Arabidopsis thaliana: one gene and its partner. The protein of the gene in region 1 interacts with the protein of each later gene in a pairwise test. Each region holds a gene or a part of one and is shown on either strand. Other genes may lie near its edges.

Region 1 (4,176 bases):
ATAAAGACAGAATGATCCTTGAATCAAACATGATGAAATTGAAACCAATGAGCAGAAAAATCTCTCGTTTAAAGATTAGTCCATGTACCAAACGTGATGAAACCAAAGGAATGACTATTGCAGATGGCGATAAGTGTTTATCCAAGTGCCCACCTCAAACAAAGCAGAGACGTTCTACATACTCTAAACTATTCTACACCGTAAGACAAGTTTCTTCGAAGCCTGCCTGAAAGGTATTAAATACCTGCCAGAGTAGCAAGTGCAACTCCTCGGCCATTTTAAGTTCAAGAAAAGCAAGACCAGCAATCATCAGAGCCGATGAAGTTTTCAAACATAAGAGCATCTAGATGAGAAGCAGAGTAGATGTGAACTAACATAAAGATCCCAAAGCAGGCCGATCAAAATAACCAAGAAGCCAGAAGCAGTTAAGCAATGAAGCAGAAGTAGTGGTAAACAATTATGAAGATCCCAAAGTAGGCAGATCAAAATAACGAAGAAGCGAGAAGCAGATAAGCAATGAAGCAGAAGTTGTGGTAAACTACTATGAAGATCCCATAGCAGGCCGACCAAATTAACCAAGAAGCCAAAAGCAGATAAGCAATGAAGCAGTAGAAACCTGAAGAAACCTCGAGATGATAGAACAAAAAACAAAGAAAATGCATAGGTTTTTAGCAGAGCTTTTGTTTATGTCTTTTAAGAACATGGGTAGATATTTAAAAGTACTTTACCTAACGGCAGATACAACTATGGCTTCATAATCCAAACGCAATAAGAAGCTTTCCAGCAATTCAAAAGTAGCAAGCATATCCAATCCACCACACAGCTAAAACATATTCTCTTAGTGAAATTCACAGATACTAATTTCCTCTCCTCTTGACGTCACAAGCAAATAGTTGTCTCCTGATCCCATAATTTGCTATCTAGACAAGTAACACTCAGCTCCGGCTTCTGCGCACATCTTTCAGACCATTTCTGCATAAACAAATACAAAAACTTATCAGCCACATGGACTCTGTTTTTTAACACAACGTCTAACAAAAAAGTCTTTGGGACGATAATGCCACTAGTTCAGTTTCAATTTCTTATATTGATTGAGATACAGTAGACTCAAGAGCAAGGGGAGTTTTACCCATTAGCATATGGCACCTCGTCACGTGCTCTATAAGGTGGTGGTGACCTACTGTAGTTGCGACCACGAGGAGAAGGACTACGACGTCTTGGAGGAGGAGGAGATCTAGCACGAGGGCTGTAACTTCTGTGAAACCAAAAGACAAGGTAATAAATCAATGAGGTAGACCAATTTCTTTTAGTTGCAAATCGTCAATCAGAAAGAATAGGGACAATAACCTTCGTCCTCCATAGGTAGGACTCTTTCTGTATCTAGGAGGACTGCGACTACGGCTGCGGCTACGACGCCTACCACCAGAACCACCACGAGAACGACATTCACGTGCAAAGTGACCAGACTCACCACACTCATAGCACTTCAAATCAGAACCACCACGTCCACGACCACCATCACCTCCTCCACGACCACCACCACGACCTCCACCACCACCACGGTTATGAGACTGCTCTACCCTCCATCCATTCTTGCCTACCATAACAATATAGATCATATATATATCAAACTCATAACAACTCATAACAACTCATAAAACCAGACCAGTAGAATAGAAGACCAACGAATACCATCTACTTCACGGATGGCGTCACGGGCATCTCTTGAATCTTCAAAATCAAGAAAAGCGTAACCAGGAGGTCTTCTAGCAACCCAGACACTGCACAGACACCAAAAGAACAATGAGGATAAATGCAAATTCACACACTTTACATCAACTAAAAACCAAAAAGGAGTCAATTTATGTACCTCCTGATCACACCAAAGGAACGAAACTCATCCTCGAGTTCACGTTCAGTAACTCGCGGATCCAAATTACCAACATACACACGCGACATCCTCAAGTTACCTATCAACAAAAGGCTTCAATTCAAAAACTTTGAAAGCGATGAATTCAAAAAGATGAAATCTATAGATCGAAACTACGAATGAATCTGGAGTAAAGAAGTGACAACGGAGATCGGGATTTACCTGAAGAAACGGCTTTGGCTCTTTCTCTTGCTCGTCTGTGAGAAATTAGGGTTATCGATTCGAAATTGAAGATGAAAGTTATTTTTTGTGGGTCAACTTTAAATGTCCTTCAAAAGTTATTCCTTGATTTGGGCTTAAAATGGGCCGCATGCGATATGGTACAGTAACAATAATGCCTCATATTCATGCAATTACTGATTATAAAATTAAAATGTCAGATGTTAAATAATAATAATTCAAAATTAAAAAAAAGCTCTCAGCATATAAAAGGAATTCAAAAAAAAAATGAGTATCACTCTTAAGTATTTATACGATTTTCAAAAAAAGTTGATAAAACTTACCGAAAATACAAAAAAAAAAGAAATTGAAATCTACATAAATCCCCAAAAACTACAACACAACACAAGGAGAAAACACTAAGAAAACACAAGCGAAAACTTCACAAGTAGAGATCCTGAGAAAAACACTGTTTCTAAACCCCAAATTGAAATCTCGTCGTAAATTCAAATTTTAATTAAAAAATATAAAGAAAGCTCTTTTCTATGTCCACTGAATATTTTATGTAAATGAAGAAAGCTCTTTTTATGCTCATACTTTTATGTATATACTAACCCATACATCTCAGATGATGAGGATGAGAGAGGAAAATAAAACTTAAGAGGGAGACTATTTGACCCAAAAAAAAAAAAAAAAAAAAAGAGAGAGACTATTACCTCTAGTTTTTGAACTAAGTGAAGAAAACTATTTCGTTCAAATTTTTATTTATAATAATAATTCACTCATTAAGCATCACAAATTAGACAATAGATGCATCAGCCTATTTGTAGGCCTAACCAATCCTCTACTTTATTCATCGGAATCGATCACTAGATATATAGTCGATAGGCAAACAAAGATATAACCATAAAAACCAATTTTGACACTATTATTTATTTGCGTAATGCTAGTAGGTGTGTACAAATGAACATAATTATGACCATGACAACGGCATGGTAACCACTCATGCCTCGAAGTTCACCTTCTGCTACCAACATATTTCCATCACATCATCCTAGCATTATTAAAGAGGCTAAGATACAACCTTTTAGCTCTTCTAATGCTAATAATCCTAGCATCATCCTAGCATTATTAACTGAGTGCATCTTTAGCTCTTCTAATGCTTTTTCTAGAGAAGAAATGGTTTGAATCACCCTTATTTTACTAATAACATATTTGGGTTTAAGATGAGTTTCTAACTTAAAACCAATTGGCAATGAAACTAATCATTTATAAGTATATTACTTGATAATTTTTCTAATTTTCGAGTGTAACTTTCTCTCATTAACAACTAACCATTCGATTATTTTAAGAACTTTGGTTTTGATACGGTTCAGTTTGGTCAGTTATTAAAATTATTGGGTTTTTTTGCCCATGCCTATATCTCCCAAAATCACAATATTCAAATAAAAACTTTTACCACTTGAACCATGGTTCTAGTTTAGAATGGTTTGTTTGGAAAAGACAATAGAGGCTAAATCGTAATTTTGTGCTTTATCACTTATGAGTTTCACTTTTAAATCAGTCACTTAACAAAAACCGGACGTGACAATATATTATGTCCAGATATTAATTTGGGATTAGCCTATAACATCCAATCATTCCCAAGAGCAATGATATAATTTTGTAGTTTTTTATTTACTATTTAGTGCGCACCTTTCTTGAACCAAGACTCCATTCAGTGACAGGATTAGATAAGTATGTGTGTATTATTGAAATGTCGTCGAGAGTCCACTTGAAGTTTGAACTATGACGACAAGAATTATTCCTTTTCTCTTCTTTCTATTCAGATGGAGAGAAGCTCACCTCAAGATTTTTAAAACGGCACTCAATTACGACTTATTTTGAGAAATAATTAATAAAATTTATAAATTATTACGTGCTCTATTTTATAATTTTTCTCTTTTTTATAGGTTTTAAGACATGAAACACTGCTTCTATGTTTTTTTTTTGGTAATCAACACTGCTTCTATGTTTGGTGAAGACATCTTGCAAATGACATTACATAAATCATAGAAATTAGTTTCGATGTTATTCTAATTAAATCC
Region 2 (4,774 bases), 3.0 Mb from region 1:
TTATCTCCTCTTGCTTTCTTCTTCTATCAAAGCACTCATATGCACATTTGAAATAAGCTTGCTGCAACAATGATATCGTTGTCAGGGTTTAATTAATTTGAATCAACGGATCATATAACTCAATATAGCAACCCAAAAACACAAGAGAAGGTGTTAATAACTCTCATGCTTCTGAAGACAAAGCAGAGCAATTGTTATGCAACGAGACACGCCTACTTATCGAATATCCTACAGAGCACAATATAGTAATTAAACCAGAGCAATTGTCGTGAACCTAATCCATAGTGTCTAAAGACGAATATAGTACGAACCCAAATGCAAATTTTCAGACTTTTTTCATGAACCTACTCAATTCATCAAATTTGAAACTAGCATTGTATCAAACCAATAAAGATTCCATATTCAGAAGCTAACATTGCTAAATTGTTATATCAGAGAGAATTTATGCTGAGCTCGCGAAAAGTACAGATTTTTGTATATACCTGAAGGGTGAAATTGATGTGATCTTGGATAGGAGAAAGCTGAGTCTGAGCAGCTACATTAACTTCTTCAAGCTTTCTTCGAAGTCTCTCCGATACGATTTGCTCTTCCGCCGCAGCGATGTGATCCATTGTCGCCTTCTCTGTTTAGCGTAATTTTGATTTTAGGGCTTTAGGGTTTTAGCTAGCTGCTCTCTTCAATAGAAGATCCTTCAATAGCCGCAAACAAAACGGGTTTGACAATTTTGGGTCGGGTTAAGTTTCCCGGGTTTCTCTAAACCGGTTAACTCTTTTTCACCAATTCAAACTTTATTAAACAGGAAGCTAATTCCGGTCATTGACCGGTCCGTTAAACTTCGCATTAGAATCAATTGTTACAAGAAGCCACCACAGAGTTGGGATTAAGCAGTAAAAAATAACAGAAACAGCCATCACCGACTTCAAGGTCTCTCCATCAATACATGATCAGACCAAAGCTTTGGCTAATTTTCATTAGTCTTGAGACAGAGAATTTAGCAGCAGCTCATTGAAAGGGCGAATTAGAAGACGAGAGATTAAAAGCATGAGAAGATGTTGGAGTCTTCACAGGAGCCCAAATATCAGCACCATTGGTTTGAGCAACTTCTGATGTATACTCCAATGGAACAAGACATAGCCCTTTACTTCTTAAGCTGTACTCTTCCACTTCCTCCTAGTTACAGAGATGGAAAATATCAGTCTTGCATTGTGATCCAAGTAAACGAGATCCAGATCATAGATTCAGCTCACCTCTGTAGTAGAAGGGGTTGCTTGCAGATAAGGAGCACTTAGAACCTGAACAGAGAAAATCAAGCATAATCATCATTGGATTGGAGGAGGTGAATGAATGAAAAGTATTTGATTAGAAAACTTGAGCAGACCTTGACTTGTTCTTGAAGAAACTGAATGTATTGCATTCCCTCTAGAAGAACTGATGCAGTGTCGGTCTGCATAGATAGAGACTTGAACATGGCTAGAGAAGACAAAGAGCGTGTAAGAAAGATTATTTCGGACCAAGTAGTACCTTTCCGTAAGGGGAAACTAGTTGTTGAAGAGCTGAAATACGTTCTGCTAATTTGTCTTTCCTCTCCTGTTTAAACCACAGAACAACAAAGTTTCAAGATCATTAGCATGCTGGTACAGAAATGTCCGGTAGCTTCATAGCCACAATGAATTTTGATTTTGATGTATCACAAGACCTTGGAAGAGAAAGAGAGATCAGATGACTTGTGTCGTTTAATTTTGTTATCTTCAAGCGAGTAGACATTGCGCTTAGTCTCCATCATCATCTCTGCCGAGTCTCTAGAGTATTCCATTCCTTGTCATCAAACAAAACAAAAATGATCGGTTTTTCGACATAAGAAACCGGTTTACTTGCTACCATTTATAAAGATAATCTCATGGCTTCATCCAAGGCAAGTTGCAGAAAAAAACATAAGATTACAACTCAACAACTTGCTTTTGCAAGCGTCATAAGGACAAAACTATACGCCTTGAGATATTCTCAGACCAGACAAACAAAGTGGTGTCTTGGTTTTAACATCAAAATTAGATGTTAACTACTACAAATTAAGGGATGCAAATCTAGGTTTGGACCAACTAATGCATTGGAAGATACGACTTTTGGATTAGAAAACAAGAGCAATGGTCAAAGAAAGTAGATAATGGTCAGAGGTTATCCATATAAGATCACATCAGCTTAAAGTATTATTTAAAGTTTAGTAGCACAATCATAGATGTTTAAATATGATATCATACTTTGCTTCCATACATAGACAATACATTGTAGGATGCATGAAACTACGGAATTAACTCATTAATTTAGTTCATCTAATGAGCAGAACTAGTTAATCATTATACGTGTTTTTATTTTGGATCGAGTTAGCTCCATTAGACAAGATTCAAAGCTAAGCAAACTTCAATAGAAAAACCCCACAAGAAGATGAGAACAAAAAATACCAAAAGATTCATGATTTTATTTTGCCTTAAAATACTCTAAGTTAAGTCAAAAAGACCAAAAATGGGGAACAAAACAGAGTAAATGAAGAAAAAAGAACTTACAGAGAGAAGAGACTCAGCATTTGCCAGAAACAGCAGACTAACCAACAAGTAACTTCACAAACTCTAAAACTTCTTGGTCTAAGCTCTCTAAATGGGTATTTATGTCACCCTAAGCACAAGACACGATGAAACCCATAAACGAGGATCTTGGTCTCTCTAGTGTATATATATTTTTACTTTCTTTTGTCTTCAGGTCTTGAAGAAAGCCATTAATGAAGCCGGAGCTCCAACGGTGACACGATTCCAGAGGTTTGTGTTTGGATGAAAACGGCGTCGTTACTTAAAGGGTCGTGAAAGAGAGGAGTTTTAGTTTTATGTAGAGAAGAAAGCAAAGAAAAGAGGGGACTACGTTTCATATGTCTTTTTCTTCATTTTGTTTTTCCTTTCGTCCTCTTCATTTAATTCTCATTAAATCTATAGATTTTTTTGTGAGACAAATAAATTGTTAGAATATATAATCGTAAAACTTTATTCTGTTTAATTCAAATCTCTTAATCAATCGAAACTATATTATATGTGTTATTCAGTACTATTTGACGGTTAGGAAATAATTACTATAGTAGTAATTAGGAAGTAACTTGAAGAATTTAGTTTAGTGTATATATTTGGAGTTAGGGAATGTAATGGAAATGTAAAAATTTGACAGCTAATGTACAACCAATGGTGAGAGAGGTCCTTTTACCAGTCCCAGATAGAAGTCGCTTTCATTATTTTCATAATAAAATAATAAATAAGCTAATAATTTTGAAAGTGACATTTGATTGTTTTTTATGTAGTTTTGTCAAAATGATTTTGACCAATTCTTCTGCATCTGTCACTTCTTTTTCAACTTTGTGCTTTTTCTTGTTTTGTTATCCTTTCTTTGAAATTTTCTACGAGGGAGGTTGGTTAATGCAGCGTACCCTTTGGTTGATATCCGAGTATATTCACATTTTCAAGTTTCAACGACACAGCTTTTTGTTTATATGGAACAGAATCTATCTTCTTTTGTTTCTCCAAAGTAAACAGCTAAATACTAACCCAAAATTGAAAAGCATAAACAAATAGTTGAATCTAACCAAACAAACAGAAAAAACAAACCTAACTATAACTAAAAGGCAAAAAATATAACAACAATATTGATTACATGCAAAATATTTGAAATGTTTACAAATGTCCAATTGATCAGCGTTCCATATCGGACCCACGCGGTTTCTGAATTTGTTTCTTTGCCACAAATGTTTTTCTTTTGTCTTCGCGGCGACCAGATTTTGGTTTAGGTGTTTCAATTTATATCTCTCTTACGTACGTACCAAAATCGGCCTGTATCAAAGGCTTTCTTTCCCAAATTACAATATTACAACCATAATTATTATAGCTCCAATGAATAAACAGCAATTATGCTAATCACCATTCGAGCATTTCTTAGCAACAATAAGGAAGATCACTCAAATCAGAAACAATACGGATAGTTCCCAAAAATGCACAAAATTAATCAAGACATTGATGTTTAACTTACATTCCAACTTCACTATCATCCAAATTGAATGCTTCAATAAGTTGGTAGGTCTAACAATCATAAAGGTTATGAAAAAAACTCCACGCTTCATTTTCCATTTGCGTATGGACGAAACTAGGTGTATTGTATATAATATAGTCTCAAAAATTTCAATCTTAACTTATAACAGAAATATATCTCACACGTCTTTTTAAAACGAAATAATAAAGAATGTTTTTATTTCCAGCATTTCAGCTTCTTTGTAGCGTCTATGATGCTTTGCTTCGTTTCCAATCTCTGGCACTTGAGCAATCCCTCCAGTATAACTGCAGATTCTGGAATATCGTTCTCGCTGATTACAGATTCAGAGCAAAGCCCAAAGAGCACTACGTTTACGTCATCTTCCTCTTCTAGTTGCAGGCCAAATAAATGATCGAAAACCTTGGCAAAAAACAAAACAATAGAGATCAATTCTATGACTCAATTTCCGTGCAATAGTATCAGATCAGATTTGTGAAAATATGCAGAGAATTTACAAGGAATGAATCACATTTGCTTTACCTTTTTCATTCTTGATACTACCATATCTTTGACGGACTGTGATCTCGTGACCAAATTCACTATGAAAAGACCGTGCTGAGGGAGAGCTTGCTTAACCGAAAGAAGAAATGTCTCTTCGATAAAATCAGATGCAGGGCAGGTTAATCCGCCGCTGCAGACAAGAGATCAAACAAGAAAA

Evidence for each region.
Region 2: the proteins of RSZ22a (region 1) and AT2G31730 interact in a two-hybrid assay, tested with the Arabidopsis thaliana proteins (one large-scale study listed by BioGRID).

Annotation. Positions count from the first base shown.
Region 1 is NC_003071.7:10,447,620-10,451,795, reverse strand, and holds RSZ22a (RNA recognition motif and CCHC-type zinc finger domains containing protein), read right to left. Parts: upstream 2,166-4,176; 5' UTR 2,093-2,165; intron 1,971-2,092; 5' UTR 1,960-1,970; coding exon 1,871-1,959; intron 1,782-1,870; coding exon 1,693-1,781; intron 1,598-1,692; coding exon 1,348-1,597; intron 1,256-1,347; coding exon 1,130-1,255; intron 973-1,129; coding exon 936-972; 3' UTR 612-935; downstream 1-611. UniProt on the Arabidopsis thaliana protein: Probably involved in intron recognition and spliceosome assembly.
Region 2 is NC_003071.7:13,486,781-13,491,554, forward strand, and holds AT2G31730 (basic helix-loop-helix (bHLH) DNA-binding superfamily protein), read right to left. Parts: upstream 2,900-4,774; 5' UTR 2,559-2,899; intron 1,912-2,558; exon of another isoform or gene 1,816-1,911; 5' UTR 1,814-1,815; coding exon 1,697-1,813; intron 1,588-1,696; coding exon 1,522-1,587; intron 1,445-1,521; coding exon 1,379-1,444; intron 1,293-1,378; coding exon 1,248-1,292; intron 1,171-1,247; coding exon 1,003-1,170; 3' UTR 770-1,002; downstream 1-769. Other genes in the region: AT2G31725 (FAM136A-like protein (DUF842)), read right to left, coding at 1-61, 483-611; AT2G31740 (S-adenosyl-L-methionine-dependent methyltransferases superfamily protein), read right to left, coding at 4,273-4,476, 4,597-4,747.